Lepisosteus oculatus: one gene and its partners. The protein of the gene in region 3 interacts with the protein of the main gene of each other region in a pairwise test. Links are inferred from orthologs where the notes say so. Each region holds a gene or a part of one and is shown on either strand. Other genes may lie near its edges.

Region 1 (7,327 bases), on a different chromosome or scaffold from region 3:
CGGCTGGGCAAGACCGCCCTGCACCTCGCCTCGGAAAGGGGCCACAGCAAAATGCTGAAGCTCCTGCTGGACAAGGGGGCCGACGCCTCGCTGGAGACGCACTGGAAGGAGACGGCTCTAGACCTCGCTCTGGAGAACAAGCAGTCCGGCGCTCTGCAGGTCATTCAGGGATACAGCAAGCCTCATCCAAAGCCGAAGGTTAAACACGTGCTATTCAGTTTGCAGTAGCGCACGGGCTTTTACAGAGAAAACTAGATGACGGAATATCGAACTGATGAATTCTGCAACACGTCCATGTGCTTTTTGTGCAACACTGCTAATGGGATGCTAAGATTATTCTTTCTAATGTTGTGAATGGGAAATCAGAGCTCTGTACACGGACTGTGGCTATATGGACGTTCACCAGCACAATTGTGGGGTCACAAATCCCCCCAAAACAGAGAGATGATTAAAAGCGTTTTATGAGTTAACAAAGAAAACGTGAAAACAACTGGCGTCCATGTTAATGTTTTCTTATTTCATATTCTATACACTTCCGTGAATGGTGTTTTTGAGTAACACAGTCTACAGAAAAATGAAAACCGGAAAATAATTAATAAAAGAGGAATTTCTGTTTCCGACGTAATATTACATTCAACACCTCCTCCCACCGAAGAAGGCTCCACAGCCGAAACGTTTCTTTTCTTCTCTTTTCAGCATGGAATAAACCTTTACTTGTTCCTTTGCTGCCTTCCTAATTGTATTTAATTTTAAAAAATCAGTTCTACTGTAACTCCCAACTCTAGTGAAATTGACATGATATAATCAGAGAGAATAACTCCTTGGGTTAAGACCAGGTTTTATTGTTAAAATAAATACTTAACCACAGGGTAGTGAGTACTCAGTCTGAAAAAGTCTTCTTGTTTTTCCACTCGCTTGTGTTTGCCCACATTGTTAGGATCTCAATTAAACAACTGGGCTGATTTTCAGGTTGAACGAGTTTTACCTGTTCGTACCCCCTCACTATGACTTTTTGAGTATTGGGTAGAACAGGAAACTCACCCAAATGGTCCTCAGATCGATCTCCTAATGAAATGTAGCCCCCAGCTTGGTCATTGTCAAAGTGTTGGTTTTGTATTCTCTGAACCACAGGCTTCTTCTTCTTCTTCTTCTTCTTCTTTTTCACAGCCTTAGTCCCAGACTGTCCTGGGGTCAGCTGCTTTGGTTGCTCTTCTCCATTTGTCTCTGTCGAGCACATCTTCCTCACTCACTTCACATACCTCCATATCTTTTCTCACACAATCTATCCATCTCTTTCTAGGCCTGCCTCTTCCTCTGTTACCTTCCACCTCAAATTCCATTACCCTCTTTGTTACTTCCTCAACATCCCTCCTCATGATATGTCCATACCACTGTAACCTCGCCTCTCGCATCTTCTCAACCACATCCACCACCCTACATCGTCTACGGATTTCTTCATTTCTGATCTTATCCTTCATTGAAATCTGCAGAATCCATCTCAACATCCTCATTTCAGTTCTTCTCATCAAGTTTTCTTCCCTCTTTCCAACTGCCAAGCATTCAGCTCCATATAGTAGTACAGGTCTAATCACAGTCTTGTACATTTTGCACTTTAACTTTCTGGGAATTTTCCTGTCACAGATTATTCCAGTTATCTCTCTCCACTTGTTCCATCCAGCTTTCACTCTTTGTTTTACTGCCTCCAGTGTTTCTCCTCCCTTTACCAGTTTTGATCCAAGGTATTTAAAGTCATCAACTTGTTTCAGTTTTCCTCCATTTGTCTCCTCAACATTGGTCATAGTATCTATTCTCTGAACCACAGGCGTTAAACCAAATTTTGATTTTATGTCTAGTCTAAAGCTTCATTTTTAGGAAACTCACTTCAGCAGTGTGCTTGAAAAGTGCACTTATAAATGACTAATTTGCTGCATTCATGTGTTTAGGAGTGGGATCCGAAGACAAAAAAAAAATCACAGGGACCCTTAACATGTAGGTTTGTACATTTGCAGTGCACCATTTGAAATAATGATAGCAGTTCAAGCAAGATGTAACCTGGCAAGCAAAAAAAATGAAACCATAAGATCTTACAAGGTCTAGGAATCAGTTTTTTTATTTTTCATAGTGTTGCAGGTGGCAAAACTGTTAATTACAAATATAAAAATGGAAAACATTGCACTTGGCGTGAAATGTGAAACATCTGCTTATGACAAACGACAGGTGTTTTTAGACTATTTTCACCCTCTAGGCTATGTGGAAGTGATAATGAAGACAAACTGAATACTTACACGGTTAAAAGAGAAGAATTAAAATCATGGAATGTTTTGTTAAAATTGAACAATGAACTAGTATTACCTACTTTAGAATATTATATACAATTTAGCTCACCGTGTTATGCAAATTATGTTGTAGCTCTAGAATCACTCCAGAAATTAGCAATAATTTTAGTCTGAAGCCTGGAAGACTGAGGGATCCTTACTAATTTATTGAAAATGCTCAAATGCACTAACAAAGACAACCAAATCGACTCAGAATCAATAGAGAAACATGAACCACATGATACAGATGGAAACTAGGGAGGTGCATTTTTAACAAAGAACTGGAGGCACTTTTTACACAAAGGACTGTGGGAGTCAACCATGTTGTTGAAGCCGAAAATCCGGTTTCTTTCAAGAAATGGCTGGATGAGATCATCCCATTAGCTACTAGCAACCAAATTTTACTTCTAAATTTTTTTTTTCTTCTGGTTAAAAGACGAGAAGTCCACCTTCACTACACATGCAATGTGTGACACTCGTAGATAAAAGTTAACTGGAACAAAGAAATGACTGCAAAGGAGTTGTTTAATCAACCACCCAACATACGTTTCACCTTTTGCCACTCGCCTGTATACCTGTCCTTTTCAAAACACAACTTTTACTTGACTTTGAGGAACCAAATATATTTGGTACGTGCTGTCCCTCTCAGCTCAACCGCACACCTCCGCCAGTCTTTCACCGTTTTCCGTCTTGTTTTAAAAACTACACTGGCCGAACTCCGCAACAAACTTCAAACTCGCTTCCTTGCCTACCGCCCCCTAACGTTGACTTGCTTCGTACGGGTCTTAGGAAAGAGAAGCCGGAAACCGAGCACAAAAGCCGGTAAGTGACGACAGCGGCTGGCGAAGTGGGCGTCTGGGCACCGCGGCCGCCATAACGCCGCTCGGCTTACGTCGCACAGACGTTTCCCAGGGTCCATTTCGCAGGAAAAGAGCGGTTGACGTCACACGGCCGGAGCGGCGGCGGAGTGATATGTGCGAGGTCGCGGGGACTTCCCCAGTCACGACTGGGTGGGTGAAGGGTTTCAAAAGGCGTTTTGCGTGCTACTCCTCGCTGGCCGACAGCAGTGACCACAGGATCCCGAAACAGTAGATTATTGAAATGCACATGTCGTTAAAAGTGTTGGCTTGGAAGACGGGGAAGGGGAGACGCTTGACATGTAAAATCGCGCAGACAAAAACGACTGCATGAATTGAAATTGCACTCGCATGTAACACAGAATGTGCTTGTAAATCATTGACAGCTTTATTAAAAAAAGTCAGAAAACAACAATCAGCGCAATTGATCGCCCCTATAACGGGGTGAGATATTCCTGTGAGGACAGCATGTCTTCTGGTCCTACTGTATTGTGTCGTGTTTTCAGTCATTAGAGTACAGCACACACGCTGGCTCACATAGAAACAAAACAAAAGCATCACAGAATCGATATTCTTAATATTACACATTTAAACATAACAAGAGGCTTTTATCGTATCTTGGGTTTCAAAAACGTCCTCTCTTCATATCATTTTTCAGTTTGATAGAAGTTAAAAGTTACTCCTGTACGCCGTCGCTAAATATCATACACTTGTAGCTGTATGATCAAGTTATATTATGGGTTTTTTTTATTTAAACATTTTAAAACAATAAGAATCAGATAAAACCCCACACGATACAAAAAACACCTCAAAACTGAAACAAAGAAACACCAACAGCCAAAGAACAGCGAAAACTTGCTTGTGCCCCTTTATTGTCAGTTTTGTTTTCATTATAATAATTAAAAGGTGTACAAATTATATAATTCCAGAAAAAGTGTGTGTAAAGCCATCTGTGTTGAACTGAAAAACGAAACAGTCCTGTTTTCATTCCACGATTTAACTTTGGAAAATCTACAACAGGAGTACAGGGACTACTTCCTCCCCAGGTTGTATTTATTTGCGGGCGGATACAGTTCACCGCGCCTGGTGTCGGTGTTCTTCGGCTTGCCTACGTCACCGCTGTCCCTTTCCTACTCGCGGTGCGGGTGCCGAGTTGAGTACTTTCGACTGATGCTAAGATGGCCGGCGGTTCTGTCTCTGCTGTCCCCACCATCCCTGCCGCCAATGAAGGGATACTTATCGGCGACAAGCTCTACTCCGAGGTCTATCTCACCATCGACAACTCCCTCATCCCGGAGGAGAGGCTCTCCCCAACGCCGTCGATGCTGGATGGCCTCGACCTCCACGCCGAGACCGACCTCCGTATCCTGGGCTGCGAGCTGATCCAGTCGGCCGGCATTCTGCTCCGGCTGCCACAGGTATGTGAGAAACCGACCCACGGCGCGGCAGCGTTCGTTTTCTGGCTGTTCTTTTTCTTATTATTTAAGAAAATAATTTAGTTTGGTTCATTTCAGGGTTTTTTAAAGCCACCTGTCCCGTAGTTTCCATTGTCCATTAAGTGTGTAATACCCCCCAAAACAGGCATCAGTGCCCGATAAACACCGCAGAACACATATTATGATTGCGATAGTAGTTACTATGCTTTTCTAGAATATTTCCCCGGTGAATCGCGATCCGCGGGAATGCGGTAGTGTTGTCTTTTCCTGTTGGCGAAGAGGCTATAAATGACAAAATGGCGGGCGCCATGTTGTGCAAGACGGGCCGTTGTGATGTCGTTTGTGACATTCTTTTCCCTCCTCGTTCTGTAGGTGGCCATGGCTACGGGGCAAGTGCTTTTTCACCGGTTTTTCTACTCGAAGTCCTACGTGAAACACAGCTTTGAGGTGAGTTCTTTTGTCCTCCCGTGCCTGAACTAGCGGTGCGCACTTTCGGCGGAGCGCCATGTTGTGTAACACGTTTCCAGTGAGGCTGGCCTCGCTCGGGAAAGCACGCAAGACGGCGATTAAAAAAGGCGGCAGCCGTGGACTTCGAAATAGAAGTCCACGAAAAAGATCCGCGTTTTAAAGCCGAGGTGGTAGAGTGTAACTAAAAAGCGGTGGTTGTTGTTTTTTTTTTTACTTCGTAAGAGATGCGCAAGAACAAAGGCCGGACTGTCGCCCTGCTCGATGGTTAGTTTTTAAGGTGACTTCGGTGTATGGATGTACGAGGTCTAATTTATTTGTACGGTACACGTGATATATCGATGCATTTGATCGCGTGATTTGCGAGTTAATAGGGCGAGGAAGCGAAACTAAAATTGCCGGATAATTCAAATGACGTCACCACATTCTTCCGAGCAGCCGTTAGCAGTAGGTGTGGGGGCCTACATCCGGTGAATAGGCCCAGCGTGTTTTACAGCCCTTTGTCTCAGCGTTGTGCACATAGGATCTGGAATATGTACCAAGTCCAGATAAGATGGGGTCCAAAAGGATTGCAAGGGCATGCGTGAAGATCCGCGTTAAATGACAGCCCCCCCTAAAGTGTCCCGATGATTTCTGTAAATTGCTGTGTTTCTGCTGAGGACCCATGTTGCCTAATTAAAATGACTTGTTTTCAGATTGTTGCCATGGCTTGCGTAAATCTCGCCTCAAAGATTGAAGAAGCACCAAGGCGTATAAGGGATGTGATAAATGTGTTTCATCACTTACGGCAGCTGAGAGGAAAAAGGTAAGCATTATTCTAAAGTCCCTCAATTGTGTAACCTTGTTCCTCAATTGTCAGTTTTCTCTCCCCCATATCAGGTTTTTTTTTACAGTTTTAATTGCTCTCATTTTTGATGTAAGTTAAACTATCTCTTAAATAGACTTATTAAAATCTGAAACATCTTGAACTTATGCACTACTGTTTTGTAAGTAGACTCCAAATACTCTGTAATATGCTTTTCCCTCTCTATAAACTTTGAAATTAATTGGCAAGTAATCTTTTTTTGCTCTCTAGATTTTTTTGTAAGCCATCTTAAGTTTTTATTTTTGTATATGCTAAATGCTTACCTAGTGTGGTGTGTTTCACTGTCTAATAGTGACTGAAATTTGGGTTACCATCTTAAGAATTGAATATGTTATTCTAGTAAGTGAGAATTAGTGAGCGAATTTAGTTAGTACATGTTTCGTCCTTACCTTATTTTTGTGTTAACTTGTTCAGGGTAAAGTTAGGCCATGGTATTAACTTCAGTTCTTTTTTCCCTTGCAACCAACTAACAGCGACCAGCTACATTTACCAAAGCCTGGGTGATGTGGAGTGGTACGTAGAGATGAAGCTGTCGGCATGGCAACAGTGAATTCCCCATGAAGAAGCCAGTGGTCTGAGAACGGGTCACTGGAATCGGGGACTGTCAGGTTGGCCGCTGGTGAAAGCGTCTGGAAAACTCCTGTATCTCAGTCTAAGCTTTAGTCTTTGCTGTCCAGGTGGTACATTTGCAACACATGCCATGGCTTTCACAGAAATACATTTCGCATGTACGTCTTGTTTATTTTTTTTAAGACCTCTTGATGAAGTATCCCCCATACATGTTGAAAATTGACATTGGGATTCTGCCACAAGGTTTTAGATTTTGAAACTAGTGTAGACTTAATGTCCTGCCTGCGTTTGTGAATAATTCAACTGGTATAAGAGCACCATTATAATGTACAATATTCATAAAATCAAATATTTTTCACTTTTGCTGCATTAATTGCTAATTTTCCATTCAGTTTTCCAGAATACCCTTTTTAAACTGAAGAGAGGATTTATTACATAAGTTGTCTTGTGTTTTAAGTACCTAATTGATGGGTTTTCCTGACGAGAACCTGACAATCCCATACTTGAGCCGATTTGGTTTGAAATTAAGGGTTGAAGTTAATGTACTTTTAATATTAACCTTTTCTTGTTAAAACCGAGTACACCCTAGTGTCCATTTCCACCTTGGAATTGCTTGCTTAATTGAAGACTTTGAAATGGTTCTTCGGATTGTAGAAAGTGAAACGTGCCATTACGTGTAGTGTAGAGAAATATCCGAAAAAGACAAGTATGTTTTATTTGTAGTACTTTTGTGGCTATCGCAATTGCAAACGGTTACACAAGGTTAAAACATGACCTCTTTAACTCATTCTTTAATCCTTTGTATTTTCCTTGAAGTGA
Region 2 (7,957 bases), on a different chromosome or scaffold from region 3:
CTACAAAATACCAACACCGTGGAGTGCTGCAGCACAAACAGCCAAGCTCCGAGGCGCAAGAGCCAGAGAGGTTACAGACGAGAGGCATCAGCTGCGTTAGTAGTTCAGGTGGGTAGCTGCGTCAGCATGCGTAGGCTGCAAAGGAACAAGTAATAGGTTTATTCCATGCATGGAATAAACCTATCAGCTGCGTTAGTCTGTGAATAGCTTCATGTCCAAGGACCTCCCCCCAGCTCTTACTTTACAGATTCCAGGAAACCTGCTCCTGCGATGTGGCCAGATACTCACCTCTAATCATCTACCTAGAACTTCAACAGCCAACATTTCCAAGACCATTCCTCTGATGTCTTAAAAACAGGACTAACCTCTGGTAACTACCCTCACAGGAGACATTAAGCTGGGCAATGAGGTCTCCTTAATACAGCCGATGAATTCACCGAATTTATACAGCACTTTTCACTTCAAAGGCTCCCAAAGACATATAGAAAAGGGGACCAGGATCAGGTGGAAAAGTGAGAAACTGCTCCACCAGCTGAGATAAGGGGGATCTTCATGTAGGCCTGGACAACAGAGCCAACAACTGGACTGTAACGCATGGTGTCATTGGGACCTGTAAAAGACCTCAGTCTGAGGTCTCACTCACTGGACAGCAGCTGCGACAGCACAGGGCCCCTGATCACCACACTGGGGCCCTGGTCTGGGAGTTGCTTACACTTGCAGCACCACAACAGCAGTCTGGATTCCATAGTCCCAGTACTGATCAGGCCAAACTCAGCTCAGCTTTTGAGTGGAGATTACATCAGGCTACAAGGTGGGAGCTGCTGCCTGTCGCTATTAATGTGAAGGGCTTTCTTTTAACTGTTGCTCGTTGGTCTAGGGGTACGATTCTCGCTGAGGATGCAGTATTTCGGGGCGGAGCGGTGGCTCTGGATCTGCGCCTGTGGCTGGAAGGTTGCTGGTTCAAATCCCGCGGCCGGCAGAGGAATCCTACTCTGTTGGGCCCCTGAGCAAGGCCCTTCACCCCAACTGCTCCAGGGGCGCTGTACAATGGCAGACCCTGCGCTCTGACCCCAGGCTTCTCTCTCCCTATCTGTGTGCGTCATGGAGAGCAAATCGGGGTATGCGAAAAGACAAATAGGGCCATAGGGCTAATCAAGTGATCTCATCTTATCTAACTGGTTCTGTGTGCTTCCCTCTACTTCCCTACTGTATCCCATACCCCCATCTATTATGTGTATTTATTTGGGTTTGCTGTTCTGTAAACTGCTTTGAGAAGCCACTTTTATAGGCGCTATATAAAAGTAAAGTTGATTATTGTGTGAGATGAAAACCCGTGAGATTTAGCCTATATTTGAAAATAGAGATTCTCCTTAAAAATCACATCTAGATTATAACGGAGCACGTGAAAAAAAGCCTGGGATGTATCCATCTGCTCCCAAGAGCTCAAAATGAGCTAGCTTAGTGTTAGACGGAGCACGGGGACACGGGACATTACTAGACCTCTGACAATGCACAGAGAGACCTTTCACACCAACAACAGCACTGCAGGTCACGCGGGGGCTCGGTGCATCACCTTTTAAAATGGATGACAACTAACTTCTGTAACTGACATGATGTCAGCTAGCTGACATGTTTAACGGGGGAAAAGGGCTCATCTTCACAAACAGGGGACGATCGCGCTATTGCAGAGCTATGAACTTTATGACGAATCTGAACTGTGGAATAAAAAAAAACCCGATCCGCCTTGAGGTTCTGAAAGCTTTAGATGACACGATCTTACCACCTTTCACGTGAGCTTTAGTACACATTTTTCAAAATGACTCAGCCTTTTGCGCCATAAGCCAGTTTCGCCCAAAGAACAGAAACCTCAGAGAAGGACAGACAGAACACGAACCGACAAGCAGGCCGGTTCCACTAATCACGGCGATCACAGGTTCCCAGGTGAAAGACCTGCGAGACACTGTCCCTCACCCCCACCCCCACGCAAAGGTGATGCCGTTCAGCAGGTATCTTATAAGGCCAACCCGATCTTGATCGAACAGCCAGATGCTGGGTCCTGCAGGCGAGTTTTGGCCACGGCTCGTTACGGCATAGATAGAAAACTGCAATCTTCCATTCAGACTCAACTCCGTGAGACGTGAATCGGTCACGTCCCACCCACCGCAAGCCAAGATGGAAAAACCGGCACTTAGAGGCTACGCTGACCGCGCAGACGGAAAAATCAAACCCCCACGCCTGCTGCAGAGGTCTGCGGGGCAACAGGCGAACAGCAGAGACCGACTCCCCACCTCTGGGTTAGCGGGGGGGATCGACAAGCCCCGGCTGAACTCCAGGCCTAGTGACCCGTGGACCGTCTCACTGTCGTGCCCGTTTCGGCCCCCGGTCGAGAACATTCAAGGCGCTGCTGTCGCCCGCAGGCCTACACAACATCCAGGGGGTGGGGGCATGGAGATCAGCATTCAATTACGAGCGCTGATGTTTCAAAACAAGAAGGGATCTGGGTGAATTCAGCTTTCATGGCGAGCAACTTGTCAGACGCGTGACAGCACGCAGCCTAGGAGGGCTCTGTCGGAGCCTTTTCACGATTGGGCACGGATCGCCCGCCAGCTTTAGATGAGGCACCCCGGCTTATCCTCCTGCCTCCCAGACATTTTACTCTGGAGGTGGAAGTATAAGAAATGGAGGTGGGCGACTACAGAGGTCCGTCCCTCCCGTGCCATTCATTTCGCAGCGCCAGCTCCAGAGACACCGAGAAACACGCTGACGCGCACCCGACTGCGGCGACGAAACACACAGACACATTTTATAACGAAAAGGGTAGACCTGTGTAACCGAGGCATCCTCCACGATCGCAATTTCCTCTTTGTCCTTCGGGGTTTTGACCGTGACCCTGATAATATTCCCTTCCAAGGCGATATTTTTGTTATTGTTGTTGTTCACGGGGTCTGTGCCGCTGCTGTCCGCCATCTTTACTCCTCCTGTTATCACTGAGTCACTGACGAGCAGCCTCGAGCCGGCAAGAGGTAAGAACCCCCCCTCCGTGCCCCTACCTCATCCCAGCGCCCGGCCCAGCGCAACGGCCTCGCTTCCGCTGGGGGGGCCTCTGGCGGCGAGGAGGAGGTATTACACCTAAAGCCATGCATGACACCGGAAATGGCCACATCCCGGCGTCCATCTGGGAGCATCTTGTCCATCGCAGGTTGCACATTCAGAGACTCCAAGACTGCATGTCTTTTTGAAGGTGGGAAGATACTGGAGCACCCAGAGAAAATCCCCAAAGAACACAGGGCAAATGGGCAAGAGACAAGCATCTTGAGTTACTTACTTTACCGTATGCTTTGAATTTTCTTTGATATTTTCTTATGAGATTGTGTAGTGTCATTTGAAGATCCGGTGAGATCCTCTGAAACAAAAACACACCGTATCAGCGTGTGAGAATGTTTGAAGGAAAGGGCAGTGTGTGGCGAACAATGAATGCCAGTAAAAAGGAAAAAGTGCTTTTGAAATACGTTTATAAAATACTGCAGCGTTCTGCTCCCCCCCCCTCCAGCAGTGGACCGGACCGTCGCCCTCTGACCCTTCCCAGCAGTCTCCCCTTCCTTCCAGGAGAGCTATATAAGGGGGGACCCTGAGGCATTCTCCCTCTTGTCCCTGGTGGCATGCTAGGGGTAACCTTGCAGCTGTGAGCCCCTACTCCCATCCCCCACCTGCAGCAACTAGCATAGCGCACCTCTGTACACAAAAGGGCAATAAATTCCTCTCCTTACTGCTGCAGCTCGCCTGCTGTCTGCTCATTCTCTCTATGCCACAATACTATATGAAATGTGAAGTCACATTACTATTACAATACTGAAGTATGTGGATCCTGCTTGTTTTTTCCTCTTAAGAACCTAGGCAGCAATAAGATTCGTAGTCCTTTTAAAATTTCAATGTACCAGATAATAATAATTAATAATAATTTTTTAATTAATAATAATAGCACTTTTCTGGAGACTCCACTCAAAGCGCTTTACAGGTAATGGGGATCCCCTCCACCACCAGCAGTGTGCAGCCCCACCTGGATGATGCGACGGCAGCCATAGTGCACCAGAACGCTCACCACACATCAGCTCTCAGTGGGGAGGAGAGCAGAGTAATGAAGCCAATTCATAGATGGGGATTATTAGGAGGCCATGACTGGTAAGGGCCAATGGGAAATTTGGCCAGGACGCCAGGGTAACACCCCTACTCTTTTCGAGAAACACCCTGGGATTTTTATTGACCACAGAGAGTCAGGACCTCAGTTTTACGTCTCATCCAAAGGACGGCACCTGTTTACAGTATAGTATCCCCATCACTATACTGGGGCATTAGGACCCACACAGCCTACAGGGTGAGCGCCCCCTGCTGGCCCCACTAACACCTCTTCCAGCAGCAACCTTAGTTTTTCCCAGGAGTCTCCCATCCAGCTACTGACCAGGCTCACTCCTGCTGAGCTTCAGTGGGCTGCCAGTCGTGAGTTGCAGGGTGAGATGGCTGCTGGCCATATAAAGTATATATAGTAGTAAAACAAAATGTACTTCATGGGGTTACCTTACGTTACAAGTACAACATAAGTAGGTAAAAGTGATGCACCCAAATGTACATTAAAAGTAGCACATTTTTGTATGATTTCAAAATTATTAAACAGCCAGTTGTTTGCCACCGCCTGGAGAATCCTAAGACTGAGAAAGAACAAAGGGACAAGCAGAGCTGGTATCTCTCTGGAGGTTTTTCATGCATTTGCATGAGACGGGGGGAGCGATAGTTTCATTTAGGAGAAACTGCGGAAAGTTTTCGGAAGACATGGGATACCTGATATAATACATGAGATTTTAACCGGGGATTTTAACCTCGTCGCGTCCCAGGATGGATAACTCGCTGATGGACTCCTGGACTGTGCCCTGATCTGCCTTTGGACCCGTTTGGATTTGGATGTCATTCTTTGTCTCCCCAGTTCACCGTCTCACGGACTGTCACTATTATTCTGTGCACTATTAAACCCCTGTGTGTTTCCTTTTACCACGCCTCCTGTTTTCTCCAGCTCTTACTGCATCGCATAGGGTCTACTACAAGACCCGACACGGATCTCAGTCCGTGTTCGTGACAAAGACTGCCCCAAAACTAAAAACCAATGCAAGAGATAAACAGTTACAGGAAACATCTAGTTGAAGACAACCGACTGGCTCTTTATTACAGGACATCATATATTGGACTCATTATGACTCCTGCAGTGATGAACTGCCCATTTTAATGCCTCTTACTCTAACAAGCAAGAGGGAGAGACATTTGGACGTGAACCACTGATGGAGTTCACCTGTCGTAAATCCAGAGTAATCGTGAGTGAACACGCCGGAGCACCTGGGGAAAATCCACACGGACACAGGGACAACATGCAAACTCCACACAGACAGCTCCGCAGGTCCAGAATTGAACCCAGGACCCCTGCCCTGCGAGGCAACAATTTTGATCAGTGCTCCACCATTCCGCCCAAATTATGCTGTCATTTTAAAGAAATGTCTGAGAAAGATCAGTATTTAGTCACCTGTCCAACATATTGATGTCAAGCAATTGTATGTGAGAAAACTGTGAGACTGATTCATGCGCTTGGCCACAGAAACAAGTGTATAAGCCAATATATTTTAACACCATTTTTAGAATCCCTATAATTCCTGTATAATTGATCTGCCATTTGTGTGTACCATGGCCAAAGGATTCTTATGCATGCCCTATGTATTCACCCTTGTGGTGGTTTATTCTGCACGTTTTTTTTATTTCCAGTTTCTAATGGTTCAGGCGAATTAAAACCATCAAAAACACAATATGGGCTTAGTTCCAATCAGTATCCCAAGTGATTCTTTTCCTAGACATATACTTGAACTTGAACTTTATTGCCATATGTAACTGGTCCATGTACTGGTACAATGGAATTCTTACTGACAGAAAGTCTCTCGATTGTAAAACAAGTGTAAAAACTAAAACAAAGTGCAAACAGTGCATCAAGACAATATACAAAAAAACAATAGACAATGTGCAAGTAAACATGTAGACAGTTTGAATGTAAACAATACAGATGTGTAAACAGTGACTGGAGATGTGCAATAGACAAGAAATCATAATGAGGTAGATGGTGATGGTGTAGGTGTGGTCCGAGGGGGATGGCTAAATGTGTTCGCCAGTCTCACTGCTTGTGGATAGAAGCTATTGAAGAATCTAGTGGTAAGTGTCCGTATGCTCTTATATCTCTTGCCTGAGGGCAGTGGGGTGAAGAGCTCATGCCCGGGGTGGTGACTGTCCTCTGTGATGGCCAGAATTCTACCACGGCAGCGGTCCTCATAGAGCTGTTTAATCTCGGTGAGACCACAGCCGATGATCTTCTGGGCCACATTGACCATTCCCTGCAGTGCCTTTCTCTCTCGAGAAGAGGTGCTGCCGTACCACACGGTGATCCCGTTGGTGAGGACGCTCTCGATGGTGCAGCGATAGAAGTTCACCAACACAGGTACTGGCATCCCCCATCGCTTGAGGCACCTCAGGAAATAAAGGCGGATATAGAGGTATGACTGGAAATAATGCAAACACTGTATAAAAGCAGAAGGCTGTTTTACATTTCATCCTTTTTCTACCCAATTCAGGGTTGCGATGGAGTCAATCCCAGCATGCAACAGGCACAAAGTGTGTCCACGCCGGACACACACAAGCACAATCACACACTCACACCAGAGCCAGTTTTCACAGAAGCCAGTTAACCCACCAGCATATCTTTGGACTGTGAGAGCACATACAGTACGAACTCCCACACACACCCCAGGTCTGACTGAATAGGATGCATTTCCATGCTTATATACCATATTTCCATTGTATTATTGGTCATGTATACAGGGTTGGTGGTAGGATAAATAATAACAATGTAACTTTGTTTTGCCTCATTGTCAAGATGATCATTTAAACAGCAACTTCATTACTAACTGTATTGTTCTAATTATGTATCAAAAACACAAACCATACATCTACTGCGAGTTAGCAGGTGAACCAGGTGCCAGGATATTAATATTACTATATCATAATTTGTGAGATTCTACGTGGCTTCCTGGCTTTCAGTGTTCATTGTGCCAAACTGGCATTTTATTTCAGCTCAAACCAGCCTGTTTAATGTAAGATGAACTCTGTTGTCTTAATTCCTCACCTTCAGTCTGTACCCCAGCTAAAGGCATACAGAAACAACACAAATTTATTAATCTTAACATGTTTTAAACACTGTCCTCATATGCAATTCCAAACCTTTCTCTCTTAATCATTTTGTTTTAGCATAAGGTGTTTATAATATTAGGTGAAGTATTCAGTCAACTATATTGAAAGCCTGGTACAGTGGAGCCTTTGATAAATTGTACTGCGAGGAATATTTTTAACATCAGGATTTTGTTCTGGATATGTAATAAAGCTTATCCATTTTATGTTCTTTGCATTTTTAGTTATTATTTTTTTAACACACTGTGTTCATGTCTTTTGCCTCTTAATTTGAATGGTACTGATCCGTGAAGTACCTATTTTAATTTTCAACCTGATAAATTAAAATTTTCTTAACCTAGTAACACTGACAGCTTTTTACAGATACACTATATTCCTGAATACCCTCATGAGATATTGGTCTTTTTAATCTAGACCTGCATGTAAATGGCACACAGGTGAGATCGTATAAGCACACAATAATTTGAATTAGAAATGTGACCCATTGTCATATTTCGTTTTTATGACACGGCATATATGAATGTGCAGTTTTACACATATAAGCAGAGTATTTTCTGCTTCAACAAGACCCCCTTAGAATATCTTAATTGTTTCATCTCTGACTGTGGATTCTTGCTTGCTTGTCAGCCAAAAAAAACAACAGACAATTTGGCAAGAAAGCATGACCATACTGCAGGCTTCAGAGTAGTCC
Region 3 (7,844 bases):
ATTACTTTGAAAAAGTAAGTTGTGGCCTAAAACATTTACAAATGTTGTGAAGGAGGAATCACTCTAGTAAGGTCACACATGAGCATACTAAAAGCACTTAAGCAATGCTCACTCTCTCCAAAAAAAATATATTTGGAGGAGAAAAGTCAATGATCCTGCTAACAATACTGTAAACACAGTACACAGGCCAGGTCTAAGGAGGTGTCTTAATGACAAAAACTTAAAATCCTTGTCAGAAATGTTTGTTGAAATGCACTCATCAATGCTGATTCTTTCTAACCCCAAAATATAAAAAAAGTGTTGCAGTTGCCCTTTACAACTAGACATAAGAAAACAAGTGTTAACATCCTAGTGAATCTTTTTCCCCCCCAAAGTTGATTGAGCAAAGTTGTGGCACACTGATTAAAACTGCCGCCTCACAGCACTGGAGTGCAATATTCAAACCCTGACCTGGGGTGCTATCTGTATGGAGGTTGTATGTTCTCCCCACATTCACAAAAAAAAAAGGGCGGAGCGGTGGCTCTATGCCTAAGGATCTGCGGCCGTGGCTGGAAGGTTGCCGGTCCAAATCCCGCGGCCGGCGGAGGAATCCTGCTCCGTTGGGCCCCTGAGCAAGGCCCTTAACCCCCAGCTGCTCCAGGGGCGCCGTACAATGGCAGACCCTGCGCTCTGACCCCAAGCTTCTCTCCCTGTCTGTGTGTCTGTGTCTCCGTGGAGAAAAGCTGGGGTATGCGAAAAGACGCATTCCTAATGCAAGAAATTGTATAGGGCTAATAAAGAAACATTGTTATTATATTACATGGGTTTCCACCGGGTGAACATGGGGAGAACATATAACCTCCACGTATATATGACCCTGGCTTGCGCCCGTCACTTGCCGAGCCAGAGTCCAGGTCCTCTGAGACAGCGAATCGATGGAATTAGAAAACAGACGGATGGAGGGATTTAGTAAAGTTTGCAAAACAACCACGACTGTTAGGAGAGGGACTGAATGAAAATAAAACATCTTCAGGCTCTGAGGTGCTGTGTTCTATTTAGCAAACTGAAAGGAGCATTATATTTCTCCCACCTGTCCAATTGGTGGCATCATCGGAGGCATCATTCCCGGCGGCATGGGCGCCATGTTTGGAGGTCTTTGCCCCATGGGCGGCATTCCCATGGGAGGGAAGTGAGGTGGCATTCCAGGTGGTCCCATCTTAAAACACACAGAAGACAAGACAAGAAAAACAAAACCGGTAAGAATTATTTTATTTTCCGCTGTCAAAGGGAAAAAGAAGAACTAAACTGAAACACTCAAGAATAAATGAACTGTCCAACACCAACTTACAAATGGCGGTGGCATCCCTGAAGGTGGGACACCTGGGAAAGGTGCCGCTTGGCTCGGGCCATTATTACCATCTGTTGAAGACTGTCATAAACAAGAAACTCCATACAGTTATTACTGCATGTGTCTACGCTGGAACACTGGGAGGTACTGGAGTCAAAACCTGAAACAAGTATTGTAACTCAAAGCCTCCCAAAAAAAAATAGCAGAGTTAGCTATAAAGGAAAATCGAGATCAGTGGTTCAGAACCATTTGTGCAACAGTAAGAAAGAATGCCCTAGATCTGCATATTCAAGCAAATCATTTTTTTTCTGTAATTCACGAGTATTTGAAGTTTTCACTAAGGATAGTAAATGTTTTAAAGTCTGTCCTACTTTTAAGAAGTATTTGTGGTCAATCTTATGCATCTGAACCTGAATGGCACGCTGAATACTGTATATTTGTCCAAACTGGCTTCTAGTCTTTGTCTAGATGTTAACTACTCCTTCATTCAACATTACTACTGTTACACAGCAGTGAAGTAGAACAGGGAACACAGATGAAAACATGGCCATTTCATTGTTTTTTTTAACTCATTTAAACTACTCAAGATCACGTCTATCAGCATTCTTGACATTGCCTCAGAATTTCCCATATATTGCGAGATCAACAAAAGGCACGACTAGGTACGTTTCTTTACAGGTCTCGCAACTGAAGCAATTGCTGAAAAAAAAAACATATACCGTCGAAAAATATGGCAGGATTCAATGTTAATGATTTAACATACAATCATCGGTCACTGAAATGTATTAAAAAGCTCATTTGCAGCTACATATTAAATCTATATTAAATTTCCAAGCACCAAAACTGAGTTTCTAGGGCAGTCTATCATTTAATCAAGCTCATAGTACTATCTTAAATCTCCATTCACTATTTTAATCCCATTAACAACTTCCAGAACTGTTTCGATTTGTTGATCATTTCTGGTTTTTCAACGAGGGGCTGCACACTCCTAAATTATAGGATTATGGGCTCAATCGGTATCCTCGCTTTGCGCATACACCCCCCACTGACCACCTCTGTGCCAATTTGATGGTAAAACCTTACATAAACGACAGGGACATACCGCGAAAACGTTTCTAAGCAAATGCTGTTTTTCAAAAAACTATCGCGTTCATAAGAGGCCCAGACATTATGTCGAGTCACTGCAGTTCGGAAATTTATTTATCTGCAGTCTCGAGCCTCCGTAACCATTATATAGAAATACAGTCCATAAAAAATCATGCACATCCGAGATTTCCGAGGGAAAACACCCTTTCTATTCAATAAAGGGGTCCCCTGAATTGCAGGAAATCCCTAACACGAACACAAACGATGGTTAAGCTTGTAATGTGAAAAGGCAAGGGCTGATTTTCCATTTAAATAAATAATGACAGAGATGTTCACTCCTAGTATCTGTTGTTATTTTTTGTATATACCATAAAGTCTGCGTAAAATATATGAAAAAGTATATCACAAACTTTACTCACCATGTTGGCTGTGTACTCTCTAACCCAACTTCTCCACCCGGCAATAAACTGCAACACAATAGGCTCATTCGCTCCGGGTTGAAAGGGCAAAGTTAAAAACTGATCGAGGCCATTTGTAGTCATTGTGTGGCTCAATTGAACACGCTTTGCGATGGATTGACATCGAAAGTAGCCAATAGCAGCGCCTTTTACAGCAATAACGGTTGTCAGGATTGGCGGTTTGCGATATGAGTGGAAAATGGTTTCCGTATGGTGGAAGGATTGCGGAAGTGAGCGCCGCGATGTTTTGAAAGAATGAAAATAGCAACAGGGAGAGAGGGATGAATGTAGATCGGTGATCGGAGCATGATGTGTAGTGTTTGTAATTGCTTTCTTTGACCGTGTGTTAGCCCAGACTGTTATAAAACAGAAACAGAATCATTCAAAAAAAACATTCAAATAAAATCAGGAGCCTATGTAAAATTTCCTAGATGGCTAGGTAACTTCAAAAAGACCTCCATTACTTAACTTCTTAGGTTTTGTTTCTATTTTTATTACTTCTTGAAATCAGAACGTTTTCATTTTTTGATTAAGGCGCCTTTGGTTAATTACTGTAGTCAGTCCGGCAGATCAGTTGTGATATTGCTGTTTTAATATGCCTCGGGGTGTTAGACGGGTCAGCGCTCATCAGGCAGTTGAAGGGTCTGACTCTGTGGTCTGGGAATCAGGCAATGTTACGCGAAGTCTGGACGAGGAATTGGAGACTTTAGAGCACCCCGCTAGGTTAGACGTAAATTCGACTTTAATGATCAGCCGCGCTCCGTTACCAGCAAGTTCAGAGATGCCGTTGCGCACAAACACGATTGCAGTACCTCATAAAAAATACTTGAGAAATGGAAGACAGTGGCCAGCCAGAATATTTTCAATGATTTGTTGTTTAGTTATATTTTCCGCCATTGCATTCCTCTTGGCGATCTTCTATGTTATTTTAAAAGGTAACCATCTTGTTCTTTTTTGTATTAATTTTCCGCCTAATTTGAAACACAGTTTCAACAGTAAGGGCTACAGGACTAGCTTAATTGTTAACCTTGTGGTAGCAGTTGAAAAACATTTTCTGTGGTAGATTCAGATTAGATTTACTTTCGCATTCAAGACGCGAAAAAGCTGTATTTAATCGGGTTTATGTCAATGTTCTTATTTCTCAGGATTTATTTTACTAAATATGGCAAAGACTGCTGGGTGTATCGTGCATGACATAATGATGGGGTATAAAATTAACTTAATCTACTGAGTAATTATCTCAACTCTGGGTCGTGTCTTACTTTCATAATTTAATAGCACGAAAAGTATGTAAAAACCTGCCAAAACCACGGTAAACGAATTTCCCACCGTTTTTATTTATTTTTTTCATTAAGAAACTGAATTATAACATCTCCATGCAGACAGCAATACGCTTTCGTATACTATGTACAATTAATGTCACGACGTCACGCAACTTTACGGAAGCAAATTAGCCTATCTTACCCTTGTTTTTAGTGCCAACTTGTTTTTTAAGGATATGTCTTTTTAGTACATAACGTTAGTTATGTAGTATAACGTTACACTTTGGTACATTTCATTCTCTTTCAGACTTGCGTTCAGAGACGTTAACAACTGAAGACGGCACAGAGATAAACCTGTTAGGTAAAAACCACTGAGACAACTAATACTTCAGTTGAAATAACCGTAGTTCTAATGTCCTCTGATTTTGTATGTTTGAATTTAAAACTGACCCATAAGAACAAGCATGCAATTCTCCATGTGTTCTCGGTACCAGCTATTTTCTTTCAACTAGTGCCAGCAGCCATATCACCCTGCAACCCACTAAGCAGGTGTAGGCCTGGTCAGTACCTGGATGGAGACCTCCTGGAAAAAACTAAGGTTGCTGCTGGAAGAGGTGTTAGTGGGGCCAGCAGGGGGCGCTCACCCTGCGGCTCATGTGGGTCCTAATGCCCCAGTGTAGTGACGGGGACACTATACTGTAAACAGGCGCTGTCCTTCGGATGAGATGTAAAACCGAGGTCCTGACTCTCTGTGGTCATTAAAAATCCCAGGGCATTTCTCGAAAAGACCGGGGGTGTACCCCGGCGTCCTGGCCAAGTTTCCCATTGGCCTTTAACAATCATGGCCTAAGATTTGGCTTCATTACTCTGCTCTCCTCCCCACTTATAGCTGATGTGTGGTGAGCGTTCTGGCGCACTATGGCTGCCGTCGCATCATCCAGGTGGATGCTGCACATTGGTGGTGGTGGAGGGGAGTCCCCATTACCTGTAAAGCCCTTTGTCCAAAAAAGTGCTATATAAGTGTAAGCAATTATTATTATTATAACTTACTGGTTTCTGTCACCTTAAGGTTAAATAGGCATGCTGCACAGACACTACCATGCAATTTGTACATTGTAATTGTATCTTTTTAAAACACCTTTATCTGTTAACTGCTAAGTATGTGTTATTTTGATATATGTTATAATATATAATATATAAAGAATAATTTATTTCATTATTTAGATGGTATGATAAGGATAGGATGAATATCTCATTTAGGAGAAAGTGTTGTGGCGAAAATGTACTAATTCTTTAAATTTCTAAAGAAAAGCTAGAATTCCAGGACAATTAGAATGTCAGTACATGGAAAGTGCACTAGTTCTTGAAGAAGGGTTAGTGCGTGGAAGTATATCATGGGATTGTTTTCCATATGAATGGAGGTTGCTAAACTATACAGGCACTCTCACTGCATCTATTAATATTAAAGCAGTAGTTCCCTTTCATTTTGTTTGTTTAATATTAGAAAATATAGATGTAATTATTGATATCTTGTTGGGACGTCTGTGGGAGCTAGTTTTGTATGAATTGTGCATGTATATGACAATCCAGAGTAAAAAACGTACTGTATGTTAACAGTGTCTCTTAGAAAACAGTGATTTCAGAATAGTTTTGGTTTGTAAAAAATGGTGGAAAAATGTCTAAAAAAATAAAATATTGTAATATTTTATATGGTACAGTAGGAGCAAATTTCACACGTTACTGAAATTATTTACAGATGTATAGAATGATTACATAAAATGCCAGTTGGGTTATTAAGGATTTCAGCTAAAAGAAAAATGCATCGGATTAAGAGCTCATGTTACTTGTGTGCAAATGCTAGAATCTTTAAAGCAATTTAAATCCACAGACTCTGCTCTGGTAAAGAGTGATGATGTAACATGGTGTGTCTTACAGAGGGTTTTTGATGAAGAACAAGGTGTGTTTTAACATTGTTTAATGCAAGTCAACCAACAAAGCACCTGGAACAAGTAAAGGTTTATTGAGCATGGAATAAATCTTTACTTTGTCCTTTGCAGCCTACGCTTGCTGACGCATCTACTATACCTGCTTGAACTACAATAAAGCACGTGAATGTCATTTAAAAGTAAAGTTATTGAGCCAAGAAAGGGTGTATGAACTAGTCATAGAGTTTTTGTACAGTTTAAAGTTGAAAAAGAGCAAAATAGTATGAATGGCCTCTAACTATTGTTGTGTTCCCATGAGAGAGAGAGAGAGAGAGAGAGAGAGAGAGAGAGAGAGAGAGTTTTTGTGTTTCTAGTGAATAATATGGATAAACGGAAGGCAAAAAAAACATTAATTCTGTCAATCAGAAGTCTTTGTAAGTCTTGGTGTTTTACCTAGCCTCTTGAGTTTTATTTTTATAAAGAGTGAATGTAAAGGTGTTTACATGACTTGTATGAAATGCCTTTGTGAGCACTGTTCAAATTTCAAGATTGTATTCTGCTGTTTATCAAAGTTCTGCTACTCACACCTCTGCCACAAATTGTTCATTAAACTCATTCAAGCTCCCCTGTTCACGTTCTTCGTGGTCTTTGAAAGTGAGAGTTTTGAAGTGCTTGAGGAGATCTTCAACAAGGGAGTTTAATGGAGTTGAAGGGATGGTGATTGGAGTGGGTGTGATTGGCAAGTCTCTTCTTGATGAATAGGGTTGAATGCAGGTTGTGTCGTTTTGTTGCAGATTCTTGCAGTTGTGCACAGCTCTTCACCTTTGCATGTTCCTCAAGGGCTGCTGTATGAGGTCATGCAGGTATTTTAGCAAACATATTTGCAGTTTCTCCTCAGCTAAATACAGCTTTCAAAAGTAAAAGCAGCAGGCTGGCTGTGACTGTGAACATCCAGGATATACTGTAGCAGAGGTTAAGAGAAGCCTTAGTTCAAAGTATTTAGTGCTCCTTTATGATTTTTTCTACCTCTACAGTATGTAGTTCTAACATTTTTAACCAGCTGGCTAAAATAATGTTTCCAATGAATGTCATCACTTGCTTTACAGGACGTTGTTTTTGTAGAAGCTGCCTATAATATCGAGTGGCCATCAGTCATGCGCAACCAGAACACAATCTTAAAACTATTTCAACCCACTTCTGATTTCATCTGTGTCAATTGGGAAACTACTGTATAGCAGAAACCCCCTGATGGTATTTTGTGTATTTTTGTTGTTTCATTCTAAATTTCGTACAGGGTTTTGGAGTTTGCTGATTTTGTCTGTGATAGCTGGGATCTCATGCTGCAGTTTCTCGTGGACCCTGACGTACTTCGATTCTTTTGAGCCTGGCATGTTCCCACCAACTCCTCTGTCCCCGGCTCGGTATAGGTATGGTGCATTTATTACTTTGGATTTCATTTTAACCCAGATTCATTGTTAAAACTCAAATCATGGTTAGCACAGGCCAAAAAAATTAATCAGCCATAGAAGGTAAGCATATCTCTTACTTCCAAAGTTTTTCTAGCGTAACAGGTGGAGATTTATTGGACTGTGTCGAATATCTTCTGCACTGAGAATGACATAACGTCATCTTCAGAATGACAGAAATACTGACAGAAATAGAAGCTTTATCCTGCAGTTTATTCAGTATTTTTGTTTGTTCTAATGTAAACCAGTATTAAAATAATAACAGAATCTACTATCATATTTTTTTCTTGTGTCTCTTTGAGGGTTCTTTTACAGTAAAC

Evidence for each region.
Region 1: the proteins of prpf40a (region 3) and ccnl1a interact in binary tests that used the Homo sapiens proteins (3 or more experiments, as listed by UniProt). The link is inferred for Lepisosteus oculatus from reciprocal best matches to the Homo sapiens genes PRPF40A and CCNL1.
Region 2: the proteins of prpf40a (region 3) and ubqln4 interact in a two-hybrid assay, tested with the Homo sapiens proteins (2 studies listed by BioGRID and IntAct). The link is inferred for Lepisosteus oculatus from reciprocal best matches to the Homo sapiens genes PRPF40A and UBQLN4.

What each region holds. Positions count from the first base shown.
Region 1 is NC_090708.1:4,677,194-4,684,520, reverse strand, and holds the start of ccnl1a (cyclin-L1a), read left to right. Parts: upstream 1-4,292; 5' UTR 4,293-4,350; coding exon 4,351-4,590; intron 4,591-4,980; coding exon 4,981-5,055; intron 5,056-5,768; coding exon 5,769-5,878; intron 5,879-7,327. Other genes in the region: ankrd67 (ankyrin repeat domain-containing protein), read left to right, coding at 1-228. UniProt on the Homo sapiens protein: Involved in pre-mRNA splicing. Functions in association with cyclin-dependent kinases (CDKs). Inhibited by the CDK-specific inhibitor CDKN1A/p21. May play a role in the regulation of RNA polymerase II (pol II).
Region 2 is NC_090722.1:2,987,255-2,995,211, reverse strand, and holds the start of ubqln4 (ubiquilin-4), read right to left. Parts: upstream 3,036-7,957; 5' UTR 2,968-3,035; coding exon 2,824-2,967; intron 1-2,823. UniProt on the Homo sapiens protein: Regulator of protein degradation that mediates the proteasomal targeting of misfolded, mislocalized or accumulated proteins.
Region 3 is NC_090707.1:11,846,800-11,854,643, forward strand, and holds the start of prpf40a (pre-mRNA-processing factor 40 homolog A), read right to left. Parts: upstream 3,043-7,844; 5' UTR 2,956-3,042; coding exon 2,833-2,955; intron 1,409-2,832; coding exon 1,328-1,408; intron 1,196-1,327; coding exon 1,070-1,195; intron 1-1,069. Other genes in the region: arl6ip6 (ADP-ribosylation factor-like protein 6-interacting protein 6), read left to right, coding at 3,467-3,806, 4,441-4,494, 7,353-7,485.